Mus musculus: one gene and its partners. The protein of the gene in region 4 binds, or shares a complex with, the protein of the main gene of each other region. Links are inferred from orthologs where the notes say so. Each region holds a gene or a part of one and is shown on either strand. Other genes may lie near its edges.

The links.
Region 1: Strn (region 4) and Strip1 share a complex: the UniProt entries of both Homo sapiens proteins name them as parts of the core of STRIPAK complex. The link is inferred for Mus musculus from reciprocal best matches to the Homo sapiens genes STRN and STRIP1.
Region 2: Strn (region 4) and Strip2 share a complex: the UniProt entries of both Homo sapiens proteins name them as parts of the core of STRIPAK complex. The link is inferred for Mus musculus from reciprocal best matches to the Homo sapiens genes STRN and STRIP2.
Region 3: Strn (region 4) and Pdcd10 share a complex: the UniProt entries of both Homo sapiens proteins name them as parts of the core of STRIPAK complex. The link is inferred for Mus musculus from reciprocal best matches to the Homo sapiens genes STRN and PDCD10.

The regions. Positions count from the first base shown.
Region 1 is NC_000069.6:107,628,907-107,633,129, forward strand, and holds the start of Strip1 (striatin-interacting protein 1), read right to left. Parts: upstream 2,805-4,223; 5' UTR 2,775-2,804; coding exon 2,595-2,774; intron 1-2,594. UniProt on the Homo sapiens protein: Plays a role in the regulation of cell morphology and cytoskeletal organization. Required in the cortical actin filament dynamics and cell shape. Part of the striatin-interacting phosphatase and kinase (STRIPAK) complexes.
Region 2 is NC_000072.6:29,915,641-29,919,816, reverse strand, and holds the start of Strip2 (striatin-interacting proteins 2), read right to left. Parts: upstream 2,805-4,176; 5' UTR 2,743-2,804; coding exon 2,587-2,742; intron 1-2,586. UniProt on the Homo sapiens protein: Plays a role in the regulation of cell morphology and cytoskeletal organization. Required in the control of cell shape. Calmodulin-binding scaffolding protein which is the center of the striatin-interacting phosphatase and kinase (STRIPAK) complexes.
Region 3 is NC_000069.6:75,554,049-75,558,219, reverse strand, and holds the start of Pdcd10 (programmed cell death protein 10), read left to right. Parts: upstream 1-1,367; 5' UTR 1,368-1,498; intron 1,499-4,171. UniProt on the Homo sapiens protein: Promotes cell proliferation. Modulates apoptotic pathways. Increases mitogen-activated protein kinase activity and STK26 activity. Important for cell migration, and for normal structure and assembly of the Golgi complex.
Region 4 is NC_000083.6:78,656,555-78,660,066, forward strand, and holds part of Strn (striatin), read right to left. Parts: coding exon 3,490-3,512; intron 1,471-3,489; coding exon 1,330-1,470; intron 462-1,329; coding exon 354-461; intron 1-353. UniProt on the Homo sapiens protein: Calmodulin-binding scaffolding protein which is the center of the striatin-interacting phosphatase and kinase (STRIPAK) complexes.

The DNA.
Region 1 (4,223 bases), on a different chromosome or scaffold from region 4:
TCAGCACAGAGCACCTTCCTAGTAGGTGCTAGATCCTGGGCTTAATTCTCAGCATGCAGCTGGGTGGGTGAGTGAGATGGAGAGTGGGGTCAGGGAAAACCTTCTAACTGATAATGACCCCTGACATGACATAATATGCCCACAAGCCATAACTCTATTCCTTATTAATGGGCACTAATGGACACTTCCATACACTACTGAGCTTCTAGGCTAGAGACAGAGTTTAGTGGTAAAATGATTACCTACCATGTGTAGAGTCCTGGGTTCAAGTCCCAGTCCCATTAAAACACAACTAAAATCAACATTTGTATACATTACTGAGGTTGAGTTTCATTTACCCAATGGGAATGACAAAACTCTGCTTCAAACTTAGCTTAAGACCTTTTTTTTTTTTTTGACAGTTTCATTCCCATTATATAATATATTGTGGTCTTATTCACCCCCAAATCCATTACCATTTCTTAGCCCCCCCCCCCCAGTGTATTTTTATAGAGACAAGGTTTTACTATGCAGCCCAGGCTGGCCTTGAACTCTGATTCTCCTTGCTCAGCTTCCGGAGTGTTGTGACTGGAAGCATGCTCGACTGCCTTGGCTAGTTTTGAGGACTAATAAAGTTTACCTGGCACATACTGAGCCTCCTTGTGCTCTAGGCACTGATCAGATCCCCAAACTACTGACTTCAGCTGTCACCAGAAGGGTGTGCAGCATCAGCACCTCCAACACAAGGACACAGATCGATGTGATGGGCCTTCCAGATGTTGAATCCAGTGAAATTAAAGGTAGGAAGAGAAATAAAAACATGTAATAGAGGCTGAGGACATACCTCAGCAGTATAGTGTTTGCCTACCTTGCACAAGGCCCTGAATCTGATTCTCAGCACCACATAATAACACGAATAAGGGGTGGTGCACACCTTTAATCCTAGCACTCAAGAGGCAGATGAATCTCTGTTGAGTTTGAGGCCAGCCCCATCTGCAGAGCAGAGTTCTAGGACAGCTAAAGCTACACAGAGAAACCCTGTCTCAAAAACAAAAACAAAACAAAAAACAAAGAAGCAAACAAACAACAAATAAAATAAAATGCACAAAAGGGTATTTATCTGACTATTTTGTGGCTTTTCAGGAAAATTTAAAACTACTTTACCTGCTGAGCTATCCCGCCATCCCTAAAGCACTTATTTTAAATGTATTATGTGTTTATCTGTGTGTGTATACATGTGCCCATGGAGGACAAAAGGACAGTACTGGATCCCTAGGAGCTAGTGTGCTAATAGGCAGTTGTGAGCGGCCCAACTTGGGTGCTGGGATCCTCTGAGAGAACAGCAAGTTCTCTTAACCACTGAACCATCTCTCCAGTCCACTCAAACATTTAAAAAGAGAAATTTGAAGGTGTAGTTCAATTCTCAGGGTTCTCTTCAGAAAACCTGGACAAGTCTGGTCATTAAAGGTCTTACAAACTTAACTTCCATACTCCTTCGTACTTAAGAGATCACTGAGAAGTAGCCACTGATCACCCATCATTCCACAACAAAAGGCTCCTAAAAGGTCCATCTTTTTCAAAAAAGCCACTCTAAACTCATCCTCTCAACTCTGGGCTTGTTCCTTTGTGACATAAGTTATCAGAATTTGAGCCTGCGACAACAACAAAATGTTTGGAGGGAACTGATTTCTTAGGCTTAAAGACACTATCTTTAGTATCTGGTACTAGCTGAAGCATCAAATTTGAATTTGAGGAATTCCCTCTCGGTAAGTGCCTGGCTGTTCATCACACTGGAAGTTGTCTCAGGTGGAGGAGATTGCGTAGTAAGCGCTCTGGGAATGAATGTGCTGATGAGGAAGCCCTGAAATGCTGCGACGAGACGGGTGTGTGTTCATTCATGAATTCTGCAAACGGAAGCAGTGGGAGGAATTTTAACTTGGGGCGAGGTGAATAGCTCCAGACAGCGCGGGCAAAGGGAATCGCAGCTCACTAGCAAGGAGGAGAATCCGGCGCCCTTTGTGTACTTCTGATCCCTTCACAGCTCAGCAACTGGGCTCACTGGGCATGCAAAAATACTTGGCAATGTCTGGCCGCGGTTTGATCCAGCGCTGACTAAAATTCGGAGGGAAGCCACAATGTGCTCTCTCTGCTACTCACACAACCTGGGGCCGGCCAAGCAGCACTAGAGAGAGAAGCCCTGTTCTAAGCGCCCGCTAAACTCTCCTGGGTCCCTTCGCTGCCAACTGGCGTGGCCCACCACCCTGCTAAGATCAGAGGCCGGAAAGGATGAGGGGCTAACCAGCCAGCAGACCACCGATTTTGCACCCCAGGAGGGCTGTGCCTCAGGCCACGCCCCCGGGGGCGACCGGCCATCCCCGGCTCGGGGACCTTCTTCCCCCGGCCGCAGCAGAGTTGGTGACAGGGCTCCGGGCTTTCCTCCCCGGGGCTGTGGCGGCTGCCAGCCTAGCTAACTGCACGGTTCCCGGTAAAGTGACAGCTCCCAGGGTCCCTGTCAAGCCGTCGGGAAGCCCGGCTGGGCCCGGATGCCGCCCCGGTCTCCCGGGACCCCCTCTGTCACCCGCCCGGTGCCAGCCTCGCCCCCCTGCAGCTCTGACCTCCGAGTCTTTGCGCTGGTTGCGGTTGAACTCGCGGGCTTTGCCCCCCGGCAGGAGGCCTCCGGCGGCCCTCGGCGCCCCAGGAGGAGGCTGCGCGGTGGCAGGCGGCGGAGGAGGTGGCGGCTGCGGCTGCTTGTTGTTCACAATCAGAGGGCCGGGACCGGCGGCTGCCGGCTCCATCTTGGCTGCTCCACACCCCCGGCTCAATTCGCGGACGGCCTCCCGTCAGGCAACTCTCGCGTGATTTCCTCCAGGAAATTTCCCCAATCGCCATATTCAGTGTGGCTGCGTGTGTCGAAAGCCGCAACTGCCAATCACCTCCCAAGGTCTTTCCTGGCTTTGTCATTTAGTTTCCCCTCCCTCCTTCCCGTGGAACTAAGCCGGAGACGTGCGGCTGGGCTCGCAGGAATCCCTTTAGATGTCTTTTTTATCCATGAGACTTAACACTTTAATTCGTTGTCTATCATCGCTTTGCCTGTCTTTAGAGCCCTCCCTGTTCAAGGTGAGGCAGGATGAAAGGGGAAATTAGGGAGACATCATTAAAGAAAGCAATTCCTGACTCATGGGTCTAGTTGACACGTTTTCCTAGCAAAGAATTTCTGTACAATTAACAACTGGTTGTGGCTTTTCTCTAACCTTCCAGCTGAAAAACCTCCAAGTCAGTAGGACTCTGTAAGAAACACCTTGTGCAACCCTGGGGACTCCTGGTTTTACTTATCAGATTATAACTCCATCCAAGACACCTCTGGAGCCACGTTAATAATCTCACTTATCAAAACAGGGGAAAAAGCCGGGCGTTGGTGGCGCACGCCTTTAATCCCAGCACTTGGGAGTCAGAGGCAGGCAGATTTCTGAGTTCGAGGCCAGCCTGGTTTACAAAGTGAGTTCCGGGACAGCCAGGACTATACAGAGAAACCCTGTCTTGAACTTGAAGTGAAGAGAGACAGAGAGAGAGAGAGACAGAGAAAGAGAGAGAGAGAGAGAGAGAGAGAGAGAGAGAGAGAGAGAGAGAGAGAGAGAGAGAGACTCTTGGGGGCTAAGGATAACAGTATGAAGTTGTATCTGTCCTCAAGCCACTGACAAATACTTTTAAGGATATAATAATGAACAAAAATAGGATTCTAGTCTTCGTGGAGTTTACATTCACATGGGGGAGATAAACAAATGAATAAATAAAACTGAAATTGAAAATATAACAGAGAAATCATGGGGAAATGAGGGTGTGTTTAATAATCCCTTAGAAGTGGCTCTTGCTTTTCTGCCTTCATTTTGTAGCTGTCTCGTTTACTCTGAATTACCTGCTCACATCTGTATTGACTCAAAGAGCAATCATCCAAAAATGGTGGCCTCTCACCTCATTCTCCGTCACGTCTGAGTGCCAAACACATAGGAGTAACCAAGATGGTTTTAATGTTACTTTTTACAGTGTCCTCCTCCAGAAACCTCCCTCCCCAAGAAGCAGGTACAAGACTCTTGGTCACTGGCCTCAACCCTCTAGACATCAGGAGTGGCAAAGCCTCACAGAACACAGCATCCCCGGATGACGAACAGCTCTTTCTATCATGGCCTGTGCACCCTGGAGGAGAAAGAATCAACTCCTGAGAACCAGCTTGTCCCTTAAGTAAAAAG
Region 2 (4,176 bases), on a different chromosome or scaffold from region 4:
GAACTTCAGTTGTGGCTTGCATATGAATTGGGGGCAATCTTGTATGTTCACTACATCTGGGCAATTAGTGTCAGAATTGAATTCATTTGTAGGACATTCAGTTGGCATCAGTAACTATTGTTGGAAAATGCTCAGTTTTCTCACCCATAAAATAGGACAATAGTAAGGTTTTCTTCACTGGGTCACTGTAAAGACTAAGAGTTAAGTACAAGAAATGCCCTTATCATGCATATCTATCTATCTATCTATCTATCTATCTATCTATCTATCTATCTATCTATCTATCTATATCTTGATTTGTGCCAATTGTAATTCTCTTCTAGCAAAATTTTCAGGAGTTCTAGGAAAAGAAAACTATTTTCCCTAAGGATTTTCTTTACTGGAAAACAAAGAGGGAAGGAAAAGCAGATTTGGGCACTGCAAAGATGACAGGGGACGTACTAACAGTCATACCCTTTGCCTTAGAAGGTGGAAGTAACACTAATTTTTCCAGCAAGGCTTTTGGAGGCAATGAGCCCAGACAGAGATGATTACTGCAGTTGTTCATTTCCAAGCATGAAGAATGCAGCTGCGGAAAGTCAGGAGGTGAAACTCCGGGGAGCCACACTGAGCTCACTGGCAAAAGCAACACACTACGAGAGCCTTTTTCCTGCAGGGGACTGAGACAGGTGGGGATTGTGCCATGCCTCTACTTCAGAAGGAAGACCCAGCCTATCACTCTGGGGTCATTTATTTGCATATTGTGTCTCCCCACCTTTCCTGGAATGCTTGCTCTAGAAGGGCAAAGACCCTTCTGCCTTATTCACTGATATATCATTAACATCTTGTAACTTCATTGCTAGCCCCTCAAAATATTTGATCAAGAACAATGTTTCACTTCCTCCGTTTTGAGCTGTCCTCCAACATGGCCTCACCACCACAATAGTCCTCTGAAACCATGAGCCAAGATTAAACTTTTCCTTCATCGAAAAACACACCAATGTCTCTCTTGAGGAAGGAGGTATAAGGCACTTTTAAAAGAAAATCCCTACAAAGAAACCCTGTCTGTACAAGATGGTGACTTTGGGGGCAGTTTCCCCTGCTCCATTTACCTTTTAGGAACTAGGAGACGGGGGTGAGAGCTTAATGGCAGTGTATATGCTAGTGTTGGTCTCTGTACAACAAATAACCAAATAGACAGATTGATCACTTTGGAAACTGTGAAATACTATTTAAATGAATCACCACAGACTAGGACTCCCTCTGCCCCTTAACGAGAATGATGACAGTTATAAGTACTGACCAATTAATTATATGAACTGTTTAAAAGGCTTTGTGTTCGATTATCTCAACCTTCTGAGTTATTCAGTGGTAACTGTTTTACAAAAGAAACTAGGTTAGTTAATTTGCCTAAAGCCACACAGATAATAAATGGAGGTACTGAAACAGACAGACAGACAATTGGCCAGACAGACACTGAAACTTGGTGGTTTTGGCCATTCACTGTCAGCCAAGTGTCTGATCTCAGGAGAGTTGGTTTTATCTCTTTTACCTTTTGTCTCTAGATGACCAGACCCCTTTTCTGCTGCTGGGGATCAATTTAGAGTCTTGTGTAAGCTACACAAGCACTCCATCACTGAGCCACATCCCCCCAACTCCGTGGCTTCTACGTAGTAAAATGAAAGGTTAGGCTCACTGTGGTAGCATATTTTGTAATCCTAACACCTGAAAAACAGAGGCAGGAGGATCAAAGCTCTCCTCAGTTACACAGTGAGTTCAAGCCCAGCCAGGGCAAGTTGTCAATAGACGTTGCCATGGGCTGTCTCAAATAATTAAATCCAGATGAAATCGAATCAAATAAAGGCTAAACCAGATGACCTTCACATCCCCTTCCACATACATTTCGTTCCCCCTGAGTCCCTGCTTGTATGCAGTTTTGCTCTTGGTTGATAGATGGAATATGGCTAGATAAAATGTAGGGGAATAATAATAATTCATTCCTTTCCATGTCCCAAGTTAGTTTTTTTTGGTTTTGGTTTTGTTTTTTTCCTAAGAAAAGGTGGAAGATATTTAAATAGCCATCCCATTAGCTGCATCCTGGGACTGCTACTCTCAAACGTCGCCCTGGTCCTATCCCAGCTTGAATCCTGTCTTTCAACCCTCCTAGAAAAGGGGCGAGCTGTTCGCGGAAGGCGCTCCCTAAGCCACCGCCATCACCCGAGGGCAGGAGATATAGCAAGGGGAAGGCTGGTGCTCCAGGCTGGTCTGGTCCAGTCCAGTGCCAGTTGCTGCAGTGTGAAGAGGGAGGGCGTGCTGCCCGCCAGCCCACCCTCCCCTCCCGCGGCAGAGCTCGGGCTCCCGCCCCTCCGTCCAGTCCCTGCACCTCTATGCGCTGGTTCCCCATCGGTACACCGGGATCCAAATTCCGGCTTCACCGGGCGGCAGCTGTCAAGTATCTGGAAAGTATCTGTTACGCTCTTCGCGCCGGTTAGGAAAACCGCAGGCCAAGGCAAGAAAGCGGGCGACCCGCAGCGGGAAGGGACCGGGCTGAGGGCCGCTCCACCTCAGCCGCCGCTTCCCGCTGGCGGATACCTCCGGGTTCCTCACCTCCGACTCCCGCCGCTGGTTGCGGAACGTTTCCCTGCCCTTGGGCACGGCCGGCTTCCCTTTGCCGCCGTTGCCGTTCCCGTTCCCATTGCCGTTCCCGTTGCCGTTGTCATTAGCAGGAGAGCCGGCGGGCCCCGGTGCCGCGGGGTCGTCCATGCTGGGAAGGTTCCCTTCAGCGGTTCGCCTCAGCGGCTCCCTACCGTAGCTCCAAGATCTCTGCCCAGGGCGACCCCGCCACAGCGCGCGCCCGGGACCAGGCCCCGCCCCCTGAACTCCGATTGGCTGTAACTACTCTCCGAGGCCCCGCCCCGAGATGCGATTGGCTAATCAGCCATCCAGAGGCGGGGGCTCTTTCAAGGAATATTTTCCCCATGGACCCCCGGCATTTTTACTGCTCAGTTGCTGGTAGCCTGGGACTAGTAGACTCCACGTCCAGCTCCACGATTCGAATTCTGAACCCTGAGCGCAAGGCGGCTTAGCTCCGTGCTGCATGCTCTTTTCAGTGCTGTTCCTGTCCCACATAGCAGCCTTTTCCTGAGAGCCCTAGTCCATCCCTGGTCCAAAGTGCCTACGTTTCGGCGGTACTAGACCCGGACCCCCTCATCCAGGCTGCTGCACGCCTGTGACATCCCGCTTTGTCGCAGAAAGGGCTTGGCCTTCAGGATAACCTGAGCCACCACACCATAAACTTACCCTCTCAGGAAGCTTTCGGAAGAGAACTCTTGGAGGAGAGAATGAGAGTTGCGGGGAGGGACCTAACTGAAATCCCTGAGGGCTGCTCCCTGTCATTTGTCCCTAGCTGTGTGGGCGCCTTCTTTTTGGTGCGAATAGATGGCAAGCTCCCACCCTCACCCGCTGCTCTTTCCTTCCCATTTCTAAAACAATCCTAATCTAAGTCTAAGATGTTGAGTTCGATCCCCGGGTCCTCACTTGGTGGAAGGAGAGAATGAACAGCCAAAAGTTGTCCTTTGACACCAGACCTCCACACATGCTCCTGGTGTCCTCCCCGATTCCCATATACAAACAAATAAATATTTAAATTGAAAAGAAAAAAAAATCCTACGCCCTAAGAGCTAAAAGTAACCAGAAGGTAACCGGGTAGTTGAAGGCTGTGGATTCGGCTCTCTCCCGAATACAATTTAAATATATTGGCAGGTCTGGCTTGACAATGGATGAAGGGAATGGGAGGGACCAAATCGCTATGGTAACCCATGACTTTAAGACAGTGAAAGGATCATTGAGTTGGGACTGTGCCAAGCGTTGTATGTGTTTTCTTGGTACCACACCTCTTCCGGACAGGTTATTTTTTACGAATCCAGTTTTTATTGATGAGGAAATTCTGAAGCACAGAGAACACCCAAGGATTACATTAAGTCTTGTCTCAGTGTGGTAAGTATGCTGCTCTATAGAAGAAACTTCCGTTCACTTGGTTTACTTCAGTCTTGGCGTTTCAATTGCTGTGATAAAAATCCATGACCAAAAGTAACTTGGGTAAGAGAGGGTTTGTTTCATCTGATAGCCTACAGCTCATTACCTAGGGAAGCAGGAACTGTGCTTTCTGGCTTGTCCCTCCTCGCTTTTTAATACAAC
Region 3 (4,171 bases), on a different chromosome or scaffold from region 4:
GGTAAAAGTTATACTTAGGATAGGTTTAGCCGGAACCCATCCTATCTTATTATTTGCTTCTTTAACCCATATCTTTTGCAATCCAAAGACCCTGCAATACAACCGGTTATCTTGGATAGACTGTCCGTGGCAGGACAATCTGATAAACTAACACAAGCGTCAGGCACTGAAGAGGACAAAGTTATTTTCTTAGTGAAACAGTTACAAAGTGGTTCTCTATCAATGCCAATTTTGCCTTTTTAACAGCTACGCATCTAGCTTGACACCATCCACCTGGTACTCAATTAGCAGGGCTTTCTTCAATCTTGTGATCTCCCAGACCAGTTTTAATGGTGCAACTCAAAACAAAATCCTTAACCACGCCCTTAATATCCCAGGCAGAGTTACCTTTTGTTTTTTGTTTTTTTTCTCTCTCTCTACCAAAGTCTGTAATTGTACGTAATTGTACTGAAAAGGTTTGCACCGCGATCCTAAGTCAACATAGCACTCTTTCCTCCAGTATCCAGGCGTTCCTATTGTCAGATGCCTTCCTCCCCAGGTTGCTGTGCTGTAGCCCGCAAGTGGCGCCCACGCTTACCTCCTTCACACCTGCAATCCCCGCTCGGGATGCTGGAGAGGATGCTGGGCAGGCTGAGACTGCTCCGGATGCTGCTCTTGCCTCTCTCCAGGGAAACTACAGACTAGGCTGAGCTGAAGCTTCTTCTGAGATTCAAGCTCCGCCTTCCCCGCCTCTAATTGGCCGAAGCTCGGGCTGCGGCTCCTCCCACTGCCATCTGCGCAGCCTAGGCGCAGAGCGGTACCCGAGGTCTCTTAGTTCCTGGTGCTCTGACCCCTTCATTTCGGACTTTCTCCCCTCTGGCATCGCACCTGGCCCTTCCTCAGGTCCTGCTTAGCTCTTTTAGCCGGCTGGTCCAGTGAACACGGGAGTGGGCTGTCCTTTGGGGGTATGGGGGTACTGTTGCTTCGGAGTAGGCGGAGCCCACCGGTCTAGCCCCTAGAGCCTTCCTCCCCGCCTACCCATGGACTCAGCCCAGCCTCCTGTCGCTTGCTACCTCTGGCCCCCCGCCCTTTTCTTTACACCCATCCGAGGGCACCTCCCATCGGTGGGCGTGGCGTTGTGGGCTATCTTCTCATTCTGATTGGTGCAGGTGAGACTCGGCCCCGCCCTCCCTCGTTTCTGGGCGCGCTCTCTCTTCATCTCCTCCCCTCCCTCAAAGACAGGGAACTCTCTTCTGATTTGCTAGAAGTGTCCCCACCTATTGCCTAAGGCGTTCTCGCACAGCCTTCTGGGAAATGTAGTCTTACTATTGCAGGAAGTGCTAACGGAAATGGAGGGCGGAACTACAAATCCCCATCGGGCCTTGCGCGACTCCTGCTGGGCAGGATTCCGGACAACGCCTGGTTCCTTTCGGGTCCTTCCGGCGTCGCCGGAGTGAATTGATCCGGGAGTTGAAGAGGGCTCCAAAGGTGGGAAGTGAAGTCCGTGCCTCAGTTGCCGGTAAGGCGAGGTTTCTCGGTTCGGGTCCGCACGGCTCCGTGGGCAGCCAGAGCGGCCTGGGGTCAGGCGGGGACCGAGGCGGAGGTGCTGAGGCTAGGCTCTGGCCGGCGGGGCGGACGGGTGGGGAGCCGGGCCTTGTGGGCGTCAGCGAGGTCTCTACGCGAGCTGCGGAAAGCTGGGTTTGTAAATGCCTCCTGCCCAGCCCGGCCCGGCGCCTCCAGGAAGTCCGCTGTGGGTTTGGGTGGAGGGGAAGGGTGAGGTCGGCCTCCCGGGTCTCCACTGACCGAGGGGGCGGATGTGGTGGGGTGAGGTCCCGGGCAGGTGAGGCTAAAGCTTGGCTAGGCCTGGAGGGAGCGTGGGTGCCCGGGAGTCGCCTCCCGGTGTGGCTGGGGTTATGCCCTTTGAGGGAAGAAGAGAGACAGTGTTGACAGTTCCGACTCAGTTCCAATTTCCTCTCTGAGGAGGTGATTCTTAACTCGGAAGGTTTGTGCCTCTTGACTCCAATACGTCAGATGGATGTATACTTCTCAAGTGCCCTCGAAGCGCTTTCACTTTGGGATGCTAATGAGACTACTGTAGAAGCAAATGACGTGCCCAAGGTCACACAGATCTTCAGAGTCTAGTCCTCCGAAAGTCCAGTTTCTGACCAGAGTTGTCGGCTTAGGAAGAAAGAGTGGGGAGGTGGGTGGTAGTACTGGAAGCAGATAGAAGAAGTTGCAAAGTAGTGTGCCTGTTTGTCAGAAACGGTTGTGAGGTGCAGAGAGTTGGTTTGTTGACGTGGAGTGGAAGCTTTGCCAAAGCATCCTCTCTAATGTTCTGTAAAACAGGAAGGATCGCTTTAGCTTAGATCTTTACCCCTTTTTCTGGGGTCTACTGAATGATAACACTCACTTTCCACACGCCATTTTTAAAGGATAGATAATATTTAGGAATAGCTCAGTGTTGCCATTAAGAGAATAGTCCTTTTCATTTCTATTTTCTTACCATTTTCAAAAACTATGGGTGAAACTTTCACAGAACTTACTTTACAGATATTCATGCTTTCATTAAGTGAAAATTAAGTGCAGAATCTTGGAGAAATTGTACCATGTTCATTACAAGAAGTGACCCTTTGGGGGGGGGGGTCAGGTTTTTACTTTTCTCTCATTTTCTTCACTCCATGTGTAGACAGTAAAACATACACTTGTATATTTTCTTTTCTTGGCATCATCAGTGAGTTTTAATTCATTCTTATTTAATGTTAATGAATGATAAAAATGATGCTTCTATATTGAATGGAAAGAACTGCAGGCTTACTATGTAAATTAAAATATAAATACATAGTATGTACTGTAAGTATATATGCTATATATTGAATGTGCTTTGCTTGCCATGATTAATATTAATTTTTTTTTAATGCAAAGCTGTTTCTGGGATCAGAAGAACCAGTCAAAATGGTCTTGTTTGAAGGGGACTTTTAAAGAAAATGGAGAGTTGTGGTACCATAAAATGAAGCAAAATCAGGAATAATGTAACACCACACGTCACAGTAAGGGAAAAGTCACTAACAAAAGGGAAATTATCTGGGATTAATTGGTTTTGAAGTGGAGTTTGAAGTGCATTAATTTGAGTGGGCCATATGTAAGTCAGTGCTGGTAAAGCAAGAATGCTAATATATTTTCTAGATGACAGTGTGGACATTTGTTGTTTGCTGGGAAAGGTATGAAATAAGTTTTAAGTGGCACACAGCTGTGTTGGTTATGGAAGGACTTTTTTAACAACAAAAAAAGTTTTGTCTTTGATTTAGTCCTACTCCAACTCTGTCTGTATCTCTGAGGCCCATCATACTGTCCTGTTTCATCGTCACTACAGTGTAAGTGCTGAGATGAACAGTGAGATGAACAGAGAAGATGATTTTGAACATCCTTCAGGCTCTAGCTAGAGCTCACAGATCGGATGTTTGCCTGTAGTGTGCAGCTCTCTTTGCCCACATTTGTTCCCTTAAAGAGCTTTGCATCAACTCTCAGACACTATCCATTGCAGGACTTTGGAGGTTTTCCTTAAAGAGCCATCTCTCTCTTAAAGAGTAGTCTGTAAGAACAGGGTCTATATATTATTTATCTTTTTAGTCTTGGTAGAATAATTGAGTGGCTAAGGGGAATGGAAAAGGAATGGCTAGGTGACTTTCCCAAGGTCATATGACCTGGAAAAGATCAGCTTATAATTAATCCATGTATTTTCACTATAGGTTTTAATATTGTGTTCAAACTTCGATTATTTTATGTAAGAAAAAGACTGACCATTACAGATGTCACTATCTCCTTATTCTGTTTAATGCTACTAATTTGTCCTCAATTTCCTGAATGTCTCCAAACTTATTCTCAGCTGTCACCTTTTTTTCTCATATAAGTTTCTTCCTGATTTGGGGACAATTTTACAAATTCCAACTTTCCACCTGTCTAGTATAAGGGAGTTTTATTTTCTTTTACAGCAAAACTTCTGTGTAACTTAGCATTTTAGAAAACCTTGCTACTGCCTTTTTAAAAAGCAAATAAGATTCATTATAACAAAATATAGATATGGAAGAAGGTTTTTATGGACTCTATTCTTCCCTTAGATTTTAACTTCAAAACAATTATTTCACTTACCTTGTAGCTAAGGACACCAAAACTAGAAGTAAATTTACTCCTTGGG
Region 4 (3,512 bases):
TAACTGAACAACTTAAAGTAAAACCCATCACCGGCCTCTGCCTCCACAAGTTTCTGTTAATGCTCACTACTCATGGACTGTTACAGACCATTTCTACCAGCGCCTAGGTGCGTGGCTTTAGAATATGCTTACTATTAAACAAACTAAAAACCATCCCATACTGTATGGAACCATCTGAGAAGACATTAAGTGAACAGAAGCGGCCTGCAGCGTGCTTCCATGACTACTCCGTGACCGTGGAGCGGCCATCAAGACCCACAACTAGCTTGCTTTTAGTAGGTGCTCATGGCTGCTTTGGGTTCTTGTTGCAGTGGGTGTGGCTTCAGCACGATCCAGTCTCAGAAAGCTCTTACCTGTATTGTTATCGTAGAACTTGATGTGCCTGTCTTCATGAGCAGTGATGCTGATTGGGAGGGTAGGATGGCTGATGACTCTGTTTATTTGGCAGGAAGAACTGGATGCTAAAAAGGAAAAATTGAAAATGATTCAAATTAGTCAAAGTATTTTTTTTTTCCAAACAAAGGCAGAAAAAAAAATAATTCAACTTTAGTCTGGCTGCAGTCAATTACCCAGTCTCCAGCTACAGTGTTGTAAAATGAGTTACCTGAGCTAAACCACGAGCCACAGCCACAGGTAATGACAAGTCAGAAGTCCCTTTTCCACCCCGATACACACTAGAGACACTGATGACATCACGTCTCTAGCTTTGCTCCTTAGTAAAGTTCTAATAGCTGGGCATGGTGATGCACAGGCAGGAGGATCTCTGTGAGTTCAAGAGCAGCCTGGCTCATCTACATAGAGAGTTCCAGGCCAGCCAGACATTCAAGTGAGATCCTGTCTCACAACAAAAACACACCAACCAAAAAGGTTCTATCATCACTTGAACACAAGTCATCTTCAAAGTTAAACCTCAGTTCCTTCTACATACAGAGCTCTATTCATATAGTTGTGATCAAAACATAGATACCATCGTTCCTTGTTCCTTCTTTGCAACTTAATAGGAAAAAAATTCATCATCAGATTTTGAATTTTTAAGTAGCATACTGACAATTGTTGTTGTGTACTTTTTAAGAATTTTCAAAGAAATTAGTTACTATACTCTGTCTGTTATTTCCACACACAACAGAAAATGTCACCAGCCATATGGAAAAAGTTCTTCATGTGAAGTTTTTCTGTTGTTTGGTTGCTTAGCCTATATTGAAGTTAAAAAACAACAGCAACTGTTTTAAAGTAAATGTGTTCTCGGGCGTGGGCACTACAACAGTTTAGAACTCAAGCATTCTTTACAGTGACTGTGGCAGTTATACTTTTGAAAACTGGTATACATACTTGAATCAACATTGGATTCTAGCGTGAGAACTCGCTGCTGTGTTTCCATGTTAAAGATGCTTGTATATCCCTTGCTGAACGATGCTACCATATGGCTCGGGTCGCTGCTCACCAGATCCACAGAGGCAGGAATTCCCAGCTCTAAGTTTTAGAAATATTCAAAGGAATGACAGTTTACAGTCCACTTGACAAAGTGCTCAAAATGTAGCAAAACAAATCAAAGTATGACCAACTTAGATAAATAATGCTTAACATTAAAACAAAAGTTATTTTTTAACCTTTCAGTAAAGAGTATTCCTTTCTAACCTGTGTCTACATTATTATCCTTACCTGTTAAATGTTTTCTACCAAAATATCACTATTTGCAGATGACATGATAGTGTACTTAAGTGGCCCCCAAAAAATTCCACCAGAGATCTAAACCCAATAAACAACTTCAGTGAAGTAGCTAGCTATACAATTAACTCAAACAAATCAGTGGCCTTTCTCTACACAAAGGATAAACAAGATGAGAAAGAAATTAGGGAAACAACACACTTCAAAATAGTCACAAATAATATAAAATACCTTGGTGAGACTCTAATTAAGGAAGTGAAAGATCTGTATGACAAGAACTTCAAGTCTCTGAAGAAAGACATTGAAGAAGATCTAAGAAGATGGGAAGATCTCCCATGCTCATGGATTGGCAGGATTAATAGTCAAAATGTCTGTCTTGCCAAAAGCCATCTACAGACTCAATGCAATCCCCATCAAAATTCCAACTCAATTCTTCACCGCGTTAGAAAAGGTAATTTGCAAATTCAAATAACAAAAAGACCTAGGATAGCAAAAACTCTTCTCAACAATAAAAGAACCTCTGGTGGAATCACCATCCCCAAACTCAAGCTGTACTACAGAGCTATTGTGATAAAAACTGCATGGTACTGGTACAGTGACAGACAGGTAGATGCATGGAATAGAACTGAAGACCCAGAAATGAACTCACACACCTATGGTCACTTGATTTTTGACAAAGGAGCTAAAACCATCCAGTGAAAAGAAGACAACATTTTCAACAAATAGTGCTGGTACAACTGGCGGATATCATGTAGAAGAATGCGAAATGACCCATTCTTATTTCCTTGTACAAAGCTCAGGTCTAAGTGGATCAAGGAATTCCACATAAAACCAGAGACACTGAAACTTACAGAGGAGAAAGTGGGGAAGAGCCTTGAAGATATGGGCACAGGGGAAAGATTCCTGAACAGAATAGCAATGGCTTGTGCTGTAAGATCAAGAATCGACAAATGGGACCTCATAAAACTGCAAAGCTTCTGTAAGGCAAAGGACATCGTCAATAAGACAAAACGGCAATCAACAAACAGATTGTGAAAAGATCTTTACCTATCCTATATCCGATAGGGGGCTAATATCCAATATACACAAAAAACTCAAGAAGTTGGACTCCAGGAAACCAAATAATCCTATTAAAAATGGAGTACTGGGCTAAACAAAGAATTCTCAACTGAGGAATACCGAAGGGCTGAGAAGCACCTAAAAAAATGTTCAACATCCTTAATCATCAGGGAAACGCAAATCAAAACAACCCTGAGATCCCACCTCACACCTGTCAGAATGGCTAAGATCAAAAATTCAGATGACAGCAGTACTGGCGTGGATGTGGAGAAAGAGGAACACTCCTCCATTGCTGGTGGGATTGCAAGCTTGTACAACCACTCTGGAAATCAGTCTGGCGGTTCCTCAGAAAATTGGACACAGTTCTACTGGAAGATCCACCAATACCACTCCTGGGCATATACCCAGAAGATGCTCCAACTTGTAATAAGGACACATGCTCCACTATGTTCATAGCAGCCTTATTTATAATAGCCAGAAGCTGGAAAGAACCCAGATGTCACTCAACAGAGGAATGGATACAGAAAATGTGGTACATTTATACAATGGAGTACTATGCAGCCATTAAAAAGAATGAATTTATGAAATTCTTAGGCAAATGGATGGACCTGAAGGGTATCATCCTGAGTGAGGAAACCCAATCACAAAGGAACTCGCACAATATGTACTCACTGATAAGTGGATATTAGCCCAGAATCATTGTTTTGTTTGCTTTTTTAGAGTAGGATGTTCAGACCTGGAACTTTTCACTCTGAAGGAGCGTACCTTGGTTATCATTAAATACACTC